Notamacropus eugenii: one gene and its partner. Each later gene encodes a partner of the first gene's protein in a complex. Links are inferred from orthologs where the notes say so. Each region holds a gene or a part of one and is shown on either strand. Other genes may lie near its edges.

What was found. The genes of interacting proteins can lie anywhere in the genome.
Region 2: NCKAP1 (region 1) and WASF2 share a complex: the UniProt entries of both Homo sapiens proteins name them as parts of the WAVE2 complex. The link is inferred for Notamacropus eugenii from reciprocal best matches to the Homo sapiens genes NCKAP1 and WASF2.

Annotation. Positions count from the first base shown.
Region 1 is NC_092876.1:247,615,658-247,623,154, forward strand, and holds the start of NCKAP1 (nck-associated protein 1), read right to left. Parts: upstream 3,012-7,497; 5' UTR 2,559-3,011; coding exon 2,451-2,558; intron 1-2,450. UniProt on the Homo sapiens protein: Part of the WAVE complex that regulates lamellipodia formation. The WAVE complex regulates actin filament reorganization via its interaction with the Arp2/3 complex. Actin remodeling activity is regulated by RAC1.
Region 2 is NC_092876.1:68,626,423-68,634,312, forward strand, and holds the start of WASF2 (actin-binding protein WASF2), read right to left. Parts: upstream 3,101-7,890; 5' UTR 3,014-3,100; intron 1-3,013. UniProt on the Homo sapiens protein: Downstream effector molecule involved in the transmission of signals from tyrosine kinase receptors and small GTPases to the actin cytoskeleton. Promotes formation of actin filaments. Part of the WAVE complex that regulates lamellipodia formation.

The sequences.
Region 1 (7,497 bases):
ATAACAGCAAACTAAAATGCAATCACTGCACAATCCAAAGCAACAATTTTGTACAGAAAACAATAAAATAAAAACAAAAATAAAACTGTAACTATTTCCTAATGTAATAAATCAAAATACATAGATCTTATATATTCTGAATTTTATCATTTCAAGGATAATTATTCAACAGTAAATATAATAGTACTTCTTAGCTAAGTGATGAGTTATAAAACCTGCAATGTAATATAGGCACTTAAAACATCATAATTTAGTTTACTAACACTTAGTTTGTCAAAGAAAACATTACAAAGTCTGAGTTTATAATGTAGAAATGTTTATAGAACACCAAGAAATTCTATTAGTCAAATCACTTTTAATGCTACTCTTACTTCCTCTTTTAGAAACCATCAAGACCATTTCCTTTAACCACAATACCACATGTCTAGTACCTTCTAGTAATGTTTGACTTGCTATTTCTTCTGACTTCTAAAACTAATACCCAAATTTCTTATGAACACCTGTAAGATTTCACAGAAAATTCAATTCAAGAGAGTGAATACCATGGACATTAACATTACATCATCCCTAACCTACATAAATTTACTTCTAAGAAGGCATTTTTAATTCAAGTTCTATTTTGTTAAGGAAATGCTTATGAGAAATGTTAACAAAAGTCATGAAGAAAGATTTTATTGCTGGTTACTCATATTCACAGGAGTTAAACTTTTTTTGTAACATGCATCTTTTTAGCTATGTGTAGAGAAGTCTGTGGCCCTCTTCCAAGAATGTTTTAAGACAAGATTATAAGGTAAACTAATTCAACAGAAAGATGTAATTTTTTTCTCAAATTCACACACCTCCTGAAATCTACTGATGCACCTATAACTCTAACCCTAGTTAAGAACCTTTGACCCATCAAATTTTACAAGGCAACCAACTCTTATACACATGTTGAAGAATACTTGTGGATGTTCCAAAATAAGCAATTCTCACTAAAACACTGTTTTAAACAACCCCATTATGGAACGAATTGTAGAAAAACATCTTTTTAAATTAAAATTTAAACAGGTTAAAATGTTCATCTTAACGTTACTAATTCTTGAAAAAATGAACCTTACTTAGTATTTAAAATTAACAAATAATCTCGAGGCAAACTAATAAAAGTCTGGAAAACTACTATACATATAATTAAAATATTAGAAACTGAAATAGCTGATCCCTACACAGATTAATCTTCAAGCAATCTAAACTGGCAAACTTGACTTAAGTTTCCAAAAAGATGGAATTATTTTGGTTTGTTTCCCCTGGAATGTATAAGCATAATATTGTGGATTAAAACAAAAAGCTACCTGAAGCTTTAAAACTGTTTTTAATAAACTACAGGCCAATTTGCCATTCAAGGACTTTCTGAAGACATCAAAGCAATGGGTAGCAAACAGCTATTCAAAACATCAAAAAATATTTAGTAGTAATAATGGGTAATATAGTTGCAGACTTAGTTTCAGAGACACAGTGAACTTTTAACAGTGGCCTTTAAAACACGTACACATAAACCTAGGGTTCTCCAAATGTAAGTTGGAGGGGAAGGAAGGTGGCAGGAAAAGCAAGGTTAAGGCTGTTATTCCTGTTCTAGTGAGTCACAACTCCTAAGTATTAGGAGAAAATTAGTTCCACCCTCACTTCTCCCTCCTCCCTACCTTTAAAAAAATGCAATCTCTGTAAGATGTTAACACCCTCTCAAAAGGCTATTTCTTAGGAGAAACTGGCAGAGCGAGGATGGGTGAGGGTCATCCGGTGAGCCATTTCCTTTTCCATCCTTCTTCACTCCCACCCCCTCCTCAAATGCCAGGAACGACTGAACACTGGAGAGTCTTAGTGGGCTCCCCATGGGTCTTTCTGTCCCCCACCCCTTCCATTGCTCAGGTTGCCGCCGCAGTTCCAGGACAAGCAAGTTTCCCTATCTTCCCCAGCATCCCCACCCTCCAGCCCTTTCCTGTCGAGCTCATTCCCCAGTCCCGGTCACCCCGCCCCCACCGCTGCGCTGGGAAAGAGTAGCAGCTTGGGGGGGGGGAGGGGACGCCCCTTCCCGCAGCCCGATCCCGGCTCCCCAGGGCGAGCGGGGAAATGGCTTCTGGTGGCTTCCTCGGCCAGGCTTCAAGGGCCGGGGCCGGGAACGCGGCGGAGGTGAGCGTCCCGGACTCCGCAGTTAGGCCGCGCCGGGGCCCAACCCCGACTCCAGGCTGGGGCGGGGGGAGCGGAATGGGTTTTCTCCCCTTAGAAGCGTCCTTCAGGCCTCCCTCCCTCGTACCGCCCCCACCCTCCACCTCCCAGTCTTCCTGGGCCTCAGCCCGGCCCGGCCCGGCCCAGCCCTCCCCGAGCAGAGGCGGCGGCCGTGGCTGCCCCCGACGCTCTGAGCCGGCCTCCGCCGCCGCCGCCCGCAGCAGCCCCGGGGCCTCGGCGGTCCGTACCTTCTTGATGTTGTAGAGGCGGGTGAGCATGCCGATGCCGCGGTCGTTGAGGATGGTGAGCTTCTCCGCCAGCTTCTGCTGACTGGGCTGCAGCACCGAGCGCGACATGGTGGTGCCGCCGCCGACCCCGCTCCCCAGACAGCGGCCCGCGGCCTCCGCGCTCCCTCCCTCGCTCCGTGTCCTCCCGTTCGCTCGCTCTCGGCTTCCTCCCTTCCCCGCCCGCCCTCGGCCTCCGCCTCAGCAGAGCGCTCCCATGGCCCGCCCGCCCCAGCCCCGCCGGCCGGTGAGCTCGGGAGCCGCCGCCGCCGCGGCCGCTACTGCTGCTGTGGGAGCTGCTGCTGCTCTCGCCGCTGCTCCCACCGCCTCAGGGTCCCTTGCCCCGGCTGCTGTTCACCGGCTCCCGCTGCCTGCCCGCCTACCTTCCTGTCCGCCCGTCCTTCCGTCCCCACCCCCGGCTCTCCTTTCACCCCACCCCCCCAGCTCCAAGCCGTCTTCCCCGGCTCCTCCACTAGGTGTGGCGGCGGCAGTGGCAGCGGCAGCAGCGGCGGCCCCGCGTCTCCCGGCCGGCCCAAAACGAGGCAGCTTCTCGCCACCCCCCCACCCCCAGGCGCGCACGGGTCACCTGATCCATCTCCCCAGCGCCCCTCGGCGGCTGGAGGAAGAACTGCAAGAGCAGCAACACGGCTCCCACCCTCCTCAATTCTATAGGGGCGGAGGGCGGGAGAGTCTCGAGCCCTCCCTTGGAGGCTTGGCCCCATTCCTGCCCAGTATTGCCTAGCAGGGCGACTCCAGGACCCTTGGAGAAGAGCGGGACTCCAGGGGGTTATGGCAGTGCTAGGGTCAAATTCATTTCTCGTTCCCTCGTCTCCCGCCCCCTTTCGCGCTCCCCCAGAGTGGCAGAGAAAACTCGGCTCCCCGTGCCACCCGCTGTGAATCACCCGGGGCAGAAGCTCGGAGGCGGGGCGTTGTCCTCCAGTGTCTCTTCCCAGGGAGTGGGTTGGTCGTTCCCGGCACCTTCCCTCCACCCCTCTCACGCCCCCACCTTCACTCCCACTCCTCTAACTGCAGCTCGCGGCAGATGGTGTCCCTCCTCTAGAGGCTGGCATCTTCTTCTCACTGAACTCTTTCCCACCCCCCCGCCTCCCCAGTCTAAAGAGCGCCTGCCCCCACCGCCCCCCGCGCCAACCCCCAGATCTGCTTGAGAGATGGGGTCGAGACCTTGAATCTAGAACCCAAGCAGGAGAGAGTGAGGATGCTGACGTTCCCTTGGTCCCCTGATCCCATCCCCATCTCGAGCCCCCTTTTTTAGCAGCGAGCTGGGTTGGGGGTGTCTGAGAAGGCTCGCTAATTTCCCCGCTAGGTCAGTTTCAGCTCAGCTCTTCTGCTCGTTGCTCCCCCAGGTCAAGAAACTTAAACTCCTGCTCCAAGACTGGGCAGTGAGCAGAGAAAGGAGGGAGGGGCTGGCAGTCCAGCCTCCCGGAGCCCTGCTTACTGCCTTAATATTTCTGGACTTGTAGTCCTTCTGCTGTTTTAGTTCTAGTTAAGTTTGTCTTCCTGACAATATCCTGTCCAGGCCTTTTGCACTTAACAAATACAGTAAAGATCTTTAAAAAGATTTCTAGATTGATCGGAATTCCTGGGAAGACAGATCCTTCATTCCTTCAACAGTCATGATTTTTTAGAAAGAATTGCCGTGGCTAGAAAATGTTATCACCTGGTACCCAGATCTTACTGAGGGATGAGTTAATCCACACAGCTGACCTTCAGATAGCAAACATGCCCTTAAAGTTTGGTAGGCGCTTGGGCTTTACGGGAATGGCCTGAAATCCAAAGAAAACTCCAAGCCAAGAAGAATATGTATAGGGTTTTATTGGATGTGGAAGAAAAAGAATTCTATTGAAGTAGTTTTTCTTTCTTTTCTTTCCTAAGGCAAGCATATCCACCTGTTCCCCTTTTGAATCACCATTTGACTTTTCCACATTATATTGTTTTCTAAATTTTCCCAAAACAGTTCACTCTGGATGCAATGTGGAGAGAAAAATAAGACATCAGTATTTCAAACTCAATGTGAATAAAACAACGCATCTTTGTCCTCAATAGCATCCCTTCTTCAAATTTTCCTGTTTCTTTTGAGAGCAAAGACAGCTTTCCTGTGAGGCACATTTACAGTCTGAGTCTTCCTGGACTCCTCTCTCTCACCTTGAATATTTACTTGGTCGCCAAGTCTTCTTGATTTTACCTCTATAGATCTCAGATCCATTCCTTCTGTCACCTCTCTTCGTTCACACAGGCCACCATTCTAGGTAAGGCTCTTATAAAAATCCTCTTCCATTTCCCCACTATTGCAGTTGCCTTCTAATTGGTCTCCCTGTTTGTAGTCACTCCCTTCTCCCATTCATCTTCCACACAGCTGCCAACTTAATACAGTTACATGTATTATTACGTATTATATATTAACATTACACATTATTATATTATATATATTATATGTAATACATTAATTCCACATAGAAGGGGTTAGGGGCACAGTGGTGCCCCCAAGATCTGGAAAATCTGTGTAAAATTTTTTGACCCTCCCTTCATACCAGAGAAGAAGGCTGAAATAGTATAGTATTAAAAGATAAAATATGAGTTTTCATCTGGTGTTGTTTTTAAGTTTTTAGGGTAAGAAAAGTTGGTAAGAAAAAGTGGTATATTTATACGTTTTTGTACAAAATAAATGAATGCCAGTAGATTTTTAAAAATCTTATTATGTACTGCTGTGTGAAAGTCTGTATATTTCCCTTAAATATGCATTATTTTACTTGTGAGTTTTTTACTGAATTAATCTGAAATGTATGAGCCCCAGATTTGCTACGGAGTGAAGAAGTTATTTTTTTTATTTCTAATTTTGGAGATCATGCAGAAATCAGAACTCTTAGGATGGTTTGAGCTGAGGGGCGAGGAGTGGGGAAAGGATCGTCCCACATGCATGTATGTCTATTTGAGAAGCTTTTTTAAATGTAAAAGCTGTGCATTTCTGGGAATTTTTGTCCTTTTTTTCCCTTCAGTGAGCTTCTTTTATATATAGCAGACAATTTGAAAAAATACAAAAATGTTAAGTTCATTTTAAAAAAAACTACAGTATATCACTGGTACAATACACTAGAAAGACTTTGATAAAAAGGAACAATAATGAAAGGCCTCCATTTTAAATGTCATTTATATATGTACCTTGTAGATGAGAGCTATATACTTTTATATACTTTTTTAGATTAATAAATTATTGAACTACTAAAAAAAGTAAAATAGGTTGATATTATATAATACTATATATATACTTTATGCATTTCTGAGTTCCTAAACTTTTTCTGTGCTGTCTGCTGGCCTTCAGGTGATTTCTGCAGTTTCTGCAAAACTCTCAAAAAATTCCCATTTAATTTCTTTTATCAACCCTCAATATATCGAAACCTTGATGGAGAAAGTCAAAATGTGGAAAGGATAGCTGCATACCTAAAACAGTTTTGACTATCACAGTTCTAACTCACCTACTTCAGCTTTTCCCTGTTGTATCATGTCTTTAGAACTGGAAGAAACCTAGAGGTTATGTAATCATGTAATTAATTGTAAAGATGAAGAAATCGAGGCCTGGAGAGGTTAAGTGATTTGCCCACCATAATAGAATAGAATAGAATATAGTATAATATGATATAACATAACATAATATAATATAACATAGGTAATCGACAAAGCCAGGGTTGAAGCCCAGAGCCTACGTCCAAATCCTATATGCTTTCTATTGCCTTCTGCTACCTTTCTTTCCCTCTAGGACAACGGACAAACTTCTCAGCTTGCTATCTTAGCTTCTGTTTTTATTGCCCCAGTAAACTTAAAGCTCCTTAAGGACAAAAATTGTTTTTAGTTTTTTATCTTTGTATCTCCAGTGCTTTGCACATGGTAGGTGTTGAATAAATGTTTACTGAATTGAATTGAGGAGAAAGTTCACTTTTCTGCCCATTCCTTGACAGGAATGATTTTACCCATAGGAAGAGAATGTAAGAGATGACCTGTCTGGTATTATTTGAAAAGCATGGGAGAGATTGCCCTGTCCCCAAATGTAACCCCAATCTTTCTGTCACTACCCCTACAACTCTGTCATTACAGACATTCTTTTTGGTTAAGGCATTGCATCTCCAGGGTTGTGTTTGTTCTTCGCTGCAGAAGAAGACTGTGCTATCAGAGAAATGATGACATGACTTGCACTTGACTTTGTTTTGAGGGAGGGCTATGCAAGGTCATCAGCCTCACTTCTCCAAGTCTTATTAAAATGTGTCAGCTGAACCAAACTGGTTTCTGGTTAGAACCAAACAGAGCAGGTTAGAGACAGGAGAGTTGGGAATCAAAAAGAAGTTCAATTTCAAAGTGAGGGAAACAGCTTGCAAGCAGGAAGGCAGATTAGACACCTGTGCCAGGGCCCTGCCCCTAATGGAGAGGCCTGCTTCAGTGTGGTTAAATCTAGATTTATATACTTGTGGCTAGATAAAGAGTCAAACAGTATAATGTAGAAACAGTAGTGAGGCATACCAGCAACAGTAAGGCAAGGTTGTGTAGTGACAAAAAGTCAGTTCATATCTGGGCTCGTTGGTGCTTGCCACAGCTCAGGGACCATCAGTTCCAGAAGGTGAGCACAAAGGATTGTTGTTATGCCAAGCTCAGGACACAGCTTAGCTCTGGAAAACTATTAGAGTGTCTCCTAATAGTATCTTGACAAATGGATACACTCCTGATGAGGTAACATATTGAACAGTTATCAATCATAATATAATAATCATAATATCAGTAATCAACACATTGGGGGGATTAGTTTATAATATTGTTTTCTAACCTGACAGCCAAAAGGGAATGGAACAAAATACAATTTTGATAAGAAGGAGTAAAGAGGGAAAGGTTTGGAGTGTAGGCTACCTCCCAGAGATGGTGGAGATGATAAGGGCATCGGAGGGAGAGATTCTGAGCAGCATCTGGAGGGTCCAGGGAGAAAGAACAAGAAGGAACAAGAAGTTACAGA
Region 2 (7,890 bases), about 180 Mb from region 1:
TAAGGGCAACTCTTGTAGTCCCATCCCCACCCCACTCTCACCTCCTTATGGAAAAGCCTTGGACACTCCCAGATGCACACCTACCATGGGCCCTTCCGTGGTAGCCCCTATTCTTCCATTTTCCTGTGCCTAGGGGCAGCCTTGGAACACAAACACGAACACAAACACACACACACATGTAATTGGGGTAGGCCTGGATTCCCCACATACACTTCTCTTTGGCTAGCACTGGTGCTGTCTCCCTCACCATTTTATATCTCTATTTGGGGCAGCCCTTGTAGCCCTCACCCCATTTTCATTTCCCTAGGGTATAGCCTTCTTATTCCCCCACCTACATCTTTTATGGACTGCCCCTTATATTGCCCAGGTCCACCTCCCTATGAGATGGTCATCACAGTGCCATAACCTCACCTCCCTTCCCCTATGGGTAATCTCTGGTATATTCTACCAGTCCCATTCTCACCTGTGGGCAGGCCTTGGTACTGTCCCCATCCACCTGACTATGGGACAGGCCTAGTTCCGCCCTCCCCCATGTCTCTGCATGATCCCTGTGGCTTCCTCACTTCCCTATGGGTGGCTAGAGCATTCCCACACCCACATGTCTAGGGACTGGCTCAGGTAGTCTGGGGGGCAGCCCTGATAAGGCCTCGTTTCCCAATGGGGTGGCCTTAGGAACTCCTGCCTCTTTATGGGACAGACCCAGTCTAGATCAGTCTTTGAGGCAGCCATGATAGGAACTCTTCCTTTACCCTTTCCTATGTAACAGCCTTAGTACATTCCTTCTCATTCCCTATGGGATGGCCCTGACATCCAGCCCCACATAGCTATGGGTCAGGCCTTTGTCTGACTGTGGAGAAGACCTAGTACCTTCTAAAACCCACGTCTGTCTTTGGGGCAGCCTGGGCACTCCATTTACATTTAAGGAGGTCCAGGTGTATGTCGGGGGGGGGGCACCTCTTTAATTCCCTAAGGGACAGATCTGGTACCCACCTGTACCTTTCCATAGGGAAGATCTGTTCTACCCTGCTCACTCTCCTACGGGGCAGCCCTGGTACCCACCAGCACAACTCCAAAAGGAGGCTAACTCCACCATGGGGCAAGCAGGGACTCCTTGTTCACTTCCCCATTTGGGGTGGGGAGGCCATGAATCCCTTGCTCATTTCTTCATGGCTCTCATGGAGCAGCCCTGGGACCCCTGCTTACTTCCTCATCCTGCTCTTTCCCTTATGGGACAGCCCTGGGACCCCTGCTCACTCCCTTACAGGACAGCCTGGGACACCTGCTCACTCCCTTATGGACAGCCTGGGACCTCTGCTCATTCCCTTACAGGACAGCCTGGGACCCCTGCTTACTCCCCTACGGGACAGCCTGGGACTCCTGCTTACTCCCTTACGGGACAGCCTGGGACTCCTGCTCACTCCCTTATGGACAACCTGGGATCCCTGCTTACTCCCCTTCGGGACAGCCTGGGACTCCTGCTCACTCCCTTATGGACAGCCTGGGACCTCTGCTCATTCCCTTACAGGACAGCCTGGGACCCCTGCTTACTCCCCTACGGGACAGCCTGGGACACCTGCTCACTCCCTTATGGACAGCCTGGGACCTCTGCTCATTCCCTTACAGGACAGCCTGGGACCCCTGCTTACTCCCCTATGGGACAGCCTGGGACACCTGCTCACTCCCTTATGGACAGCCTGGGACCTCTGCTCATTCCCTTACAGGACAGCCTGGGACCCCTGCTTACTCCCCTACGGGACAGCCTGGGACTCCTGCTTACTCCCCTACGGGACAGCCTGGGACACCTGCTCACTCCCTTACAGGACAGCCTGGGACCCCTGCTCACTCCCCTCCGGGACAGCCTGGGACCCCTGCTCACTCTCCTACGGGACAGCCTGGGACCCCTGCTCACTCCCTTACAGAACAGCCTGGGACCCCCGCTCACTCCCCTACGGGACAGCCTGGGACCCCCCGCTCACTCCCTTACAGGACAGCCTGGGACCCCTGCTCACTCCCTTATGGACAGCCTGGGACCTCTGCTCATTCCCTTACAGGACAGCCTGGGACCCCTGCTTACTCCCCTACGGGACAGCCTGGGACTCCTGCTCACTCCCTTATGGACAACCTGGGATCCCTGCTTACTCCCCTTCGGGACAGCCTGGGACTCCTGCTCACTCCCTTATGGACAGCCTGGGACCTCTGCTCATTCCCTTACAGGACAGCCTGGGACCCCTGCTTACTCCCCTACGGGACAGCCTGGGACTCCTGCTTACTCCCTTACGGGACAGCCTGGGACTCCTGCTCACTCCCTTATGGACAACCTGGGATCCCTGCTTACTCCCCTTCGGGACAGCCTGGGACTCCTGCTCACTCCCTTACAGGACAGCCTGGGACCCCTGCTCACTTCCCTCCGGGACAGCCTGGGACCCCTGCTCACTCTCCTATGGGACAGCCTGGGACCCCTGCTCACTCCCTTACAGAACAGCCTGGGACCCCCGCTCACTCCCCTACGGGACAGCCTGGGACCCCCGCTCACTCCCTTACAGGACAGCCTGGGACCCCTGCTTACTCCCTTATGGACAGCCTGGGACCTCTGCTCATTCCCTTACAGGACAGCCTGGGACCCCCGCTCACTCCCCTACGGGACAGCCTGGGACCCCTGCTCACTCCCTTATGGACAACCTGGGATCCCTGCTCACTCCCCTACGGGACAGCCTGGGACTCCTGCTCACTCCCTTACGGGACAGCCTGGGACCCCCGCTCACTCCCCTACGGGACAGCCTGGGACCCCCGCTCACTCCCCTACGGGACAGCCTGGGACCCCCGCTCACTCCCTTACAGGACAGCCCGGGACTCCTGCTGGCTCCCCGTGGAGCTGGCCCTGCTCTTGCCCCCCACCCCTGCCCAGTGCATGCCCGCTCAGACCCGTCGGACCCTCGGACGCCGGCCCCGGCCCGGCCAGGCCCGGTCCCGCCAGAAGCCGCCCTCTCCCGGGCCAGGAGAACTTGCTGCTCACCTGGCCTCCGAAAGAGCCAACCGCGGCAGGCCCTGACGCCCCCTCTGCCCGCAGCCGCGGTCCGCAGGGTGGTCTAGCCCCCCGGCGGCTGCAGCCACTCTGGCCTGCGGTCCCTCCCTCAGCTCGCTACGCCCCCGGCCGCACTCGCCAGATCGGCGTCCGCCATTACGCGCTCCCCTCCCGGAGACATAGCCCCACCCCGGCACCAGATCTGATTGGTTTACAGCCCCGCCCGCTCGGAGCTTCCAGCTCTTTCATTGGTCTTCACGGAGCGCCTGTCAAACTGATACGCAAACGACGTACTCCGCAGGCACTGCCCCGGGAGCTCCACCCGAAAGACTTCCGCAAATGGAGTAAACAGGACGGAGGAGACCAAGTGAAGTTCAAGGCGGGGTACGAGCAAGTCAACTTCCTAAATGAAAGTACGGAAACGCTGCTTCTGAAGGGCAGATGCTCTTTGAAAACATTTTAGGCGGTGGTTTATTGGCAACGGTTCTAGGAAAACGTGCGCAGGAAGCGAAGGAATGAGCTGGGCCCCCGAACTTCCTTCTGTGTACCCTCCAGGTTTCAGTTGGTTTTGCCCAGTCCCTCCTCCCGGCTTCTGACTCGGGCTAGGTGGGAACTGGAAAGTTGAGTCACGGCCTCGTCCCGGGGTCTGGCTCGAGCACACCCAGGGCGGGGACGGGCTCTGCGGAGGAGGGGTCCCCACGTGGCGGAGAAGTGAGCTGTCTAAGGCACGCCCCTGGGCCCCCGCGCTTTTCAGAATTCCTTCCTCGGAGAACTTGTGACCCAGGTGGACCCCCTGCCCTTCGCCACCACGGCTGGGGACCCCCCGTGTCCGCTCCGCTCGATCCGATGAACTTGTGCTAAGCTTTCTCTTGTTCTGGGCTGGGGGGTGGAAAGGGCTCGTAGACAAAACTACCCGCCCTTCAAGACTTTAAAATCTAATAGATGGTGCTGTACCGGTGCTCGGGAAACTTCAGTGGTCAGGGAGTCTGCAAGCATGTATTAGACGCTGTCAGTGTGCGGGGCATGATGGTATAAACCCTGGAGACGCAAAGACAGACGGAAAGAAAGGAGAACACGCACACACTCGCGGGAAGGAATGGGGTGGGGAGGGAAGGGAGAAGAAGTTGAGATGGAGAAGTTCAGAGTAGCGCACCCCTGGTGAGAAATGAGGATCCCCCTCCCCCCGCAGTCAGCCTGGGCACCCTCCTTCAGTGGAGGTTCAGCGAGGTGCTTTTCACCCTCCAGAGTCCAGTCAGAGAAAGGGGTCCCCAAGGCTGAAGGCAAGCTCCAGGGCTGAAGGGATCTTCTGGAGCATCGTGGAGAAATCCAGGATATGATTCAAACTGCTTTGGCATTTAAAGCCCTTCATCCAAGCTGATTAATCATTACTTCACCCTCGCTAAGGCTACGTTACCTCCTTCTGAGATTACCTCCAATTTATCCTGTTTATATTTTATTTGCATGAAGTCAAAGCATTTATTAAGCACCTACTGTGTGCGGAGCTGGGGACACACAGAAAGGCATCAGATGGTGAACTTCTTGAGGTCAGGGGCAGTTTTCCCCATTTCTTTGTATCACCAGGGCTCAGCACAGTGTCTGGCACATGGTGGGTTTATAAATTCCTGTTGACAGGATTTGAAACTGACCGACTTAATTCCAGGTGTAAGACATTCCACTTCATATCTCCGTAATGTCTGTCTCTTCAGGCTACACTCCTGACTCTCTGGACTTTTCATTTCTTTATTCCCCTTTTACCTACTCCATCACTGTCTTTCCTTCTAGTGATAATAATAACAACTAATATATAGCCCTTAGGATGTGCCAGGCACTGTGCTAAAGCATTTTATTTGATCCTCATAACAACCCTGGGAGGTAGGTGTTGTGATTGTCCCCATTTTACAGATGGGGAAACTGAGGCAAACAGTTTGACTGACTTGCCAAGGGTCCTACAGCTAGCAGGTATCTGAGGCCAGATTTGAACTTAGGTCTTCCTGACTCCAAACTACTTCTGTTGGTATTTCTATTTCTAGCACTGTAGTATATGGTAAGCATTTAATAAATGCGAGACTTGATTTAACTGGTGCCTCAGCCCACTGAGAATGCCTACCAACCACTGCCCCTTTGAGGCTCAGCCCAAATACCGCTTCCTATAAGAAAACTTTCCTGATTTCTCTCCTCAGTAAGGAAGAACACTAATCTCCTTGAGGGAAAGGACTGCTCTATTTTTGACTTTGTATTCCCATCAGTTAGTACAGCGTCTCGCACATAATCGGTTTGTTGCCATTGTCTTGTCGTTTCAGTCAGGTACAACTCTTTGTGACATATCAAGGTGTTCCTTGGCCAAGATACTGGAGCGGTTTGCCATTCTTTCTCCAGCTCATTTTACATATGAACAAACTGAGGCAAACAGGGCTCAGTGACTTTCCGTAGTCAAGTGTCTAAGGCTACACTGGAACTCAGGAAGATGACTTTTCCTGATTCCAAGCCCAGTGCTCTATCCATGGTACCACTTAGCTGCCCTAACATTTGATGTAGGAGGTGTTCAGGGAGATCTAGCACATCCAATGTAAAGGCTGTGGAGCTCTTTTCAGGGTTGTTCATCCACCTTTGGTGTCCATCTTCACCCAACTCTTACCTCTGGATACAAGAAGCCATAGCATGCACAGTGACCACATCTCAGCAAATCATCTCAGCTGACCATCTAAAACCAGGTTGAGGTTAACTGATGGCCTCAAGCCAGTAGTTGGTAAATTAAGGGGATATCTACCCCAGGCCTTTGAAGATTTCACCCAGTAGTATGGGAAGATGAAAACAATTTGTTCCATTGGGCCACTAAGGTAGCTGAAGCAGGTGCTACGGAGCGGAGCGCTTACATCTCAATTGAAGAAACGATTTAATCCACTGCATCCTGGGTCATCATCCATTGTTCTGACTTTTGTCTTGCCACTGGACTTTGATGATCCTGGAAAAGAGTGAGGCTGAGGACTGTGCAACTCTGCCTCACTTAAATCCAATTCAGGTGAAAATCAAGACATCACCCTGTGATGTCACTAGAAAATGAAGGAGGAATGACAAGGGAGAACACTAAACACCCTTTAGTGCTCTGGCCCAGCAAATTGCTTTGTATACATTTATCTGTGCACATGATAGGATGTGTTCTCTCTGTAGAATGGAATCTCCTTGAAGGCAGGGACTTGTTTTTTTGTCATTAGAGCCTCAGAGCCTGAAACTTTTTTTTTTAATCTGACAATCAATTTCATCAGTTTGGGGAGTTCCTAGGGAAAGACTCCCCCTGTCCATGCAAATCAGCAGCTGCTGTGCCACCTGAGGCATCGAGTGACTTCCCCAAGGTGACAGTCACAGTTTCAGTCAATAAAGATTTAGGAAGCACCTACTATGTGCCAGCTACTTTGCACCAGGAATACAGAAAGAGGCAAAAGATAGTCACTCCCCTCAAGGAGCTCATAATCTGACTGGGGTGTCAACATGCAAACAAATACAAACAAAGCTACATACAGGATAAAGAGGAAGCAATTCAGAAAAAAAGAGGCACTAGAATTAAGAGGGCTTGGAGAAGGCTTCCTGTAGTACAGTAGTGTCAAACTCAAATAGAAACTTAGGGACCACTGAACCATAGATCAGATTCCTAGGCTGACTTAGAAAACCACATATTAACATTATCTATGTTCTATTGTATTTTTGGTTACTTTGTTAAATATTTCCCAATTCTATTTTCAGTTCTATTTTTCCCCAGTTACATGATAAAACAATTTTAAACTTTTTTTAAGTTCCAAATTCTCTCCCTTTCTCCTTCTCTCCTTCCCCTTTACCCCCATTACATTTTAATCGGGTTCTCAAGAGCTTCATGGGTCCACTGACCTCTCTGTTAACACCTCTGCGTAGATTTTAGTTGAGACTTAAAGGAAGCCAGGGAACCCAGTAGTCAGAGATGAGGAAGGGGAGAGCATTCCAGAGACAACCAGAGAAATGCCCAGAGCTGAGAGACATGTCTTGGTTAAGGCATAACAAGGGGACCAGTGTCACTGGCCCGAAGAGTATGTGGCTGGGGGAGTAAAGTGTAAGAAGACTGGGAAGGGAGGAGGGGGTTAGGTTAGGAAGGGTTTGGAATGCCAAACAGAGGGTTTCATATTTGATATTTAAGTCAACAATTGAAGTCAAAATTGAAGTTTATTGAGTAGGAGAGTGACATGAGTCAACCTGAGTTTTAGGAAAAATCACTTTAGGGTCTGAGTGGAGGATGGATTGGAAAAGAGAGACTTGAGACAGGCTGACCCACCCATCTGTTCCAACCATCCAGGAATGAGGTGACAACAACCTATCCTAGAGGGGTAGTATCAGAGGAGAGAAGGGAGCAAAGAAGAAATTGATCTGTTTGTCAGAGGAAAGACCTGAACCCAGGTCTTCCTGACTCCCAGGCAAATCTCTATCAACTATACCACCGCTAATAAATATTTGTTGAATTGAATTGAAGACAAGGGTAAGTTTAAAGCAAAGCATTCTGGGAAATTGGGGGTGGGAGGGAAGAGTCCACCCAAGTTGGGTCTTCATAGAAGACAGGGTTTGGACAGATGGAGATTTGGGGAGAGGCGGGTCCATTCTAGGCAAGTAGGAGAGTGTGCAGAGACCCATGATAGTAAGGTGAAAACAGAGACATAGAATGCTCTAGTCAGGCTAGAACTCAGTATATATGAAGGGGCAACAATCTGAGAAAAGGTTAGAACAGGAGTCAGATTGTGTAAGGCCTTGAATGCCAAGGTCAGAAGTTGATACTTTTCTGTCAACAGTGGAAATTTCTAAAAGAGTAGATAAGTGACGTGATTGATTTTTATAGATTGTGATGTATGCCT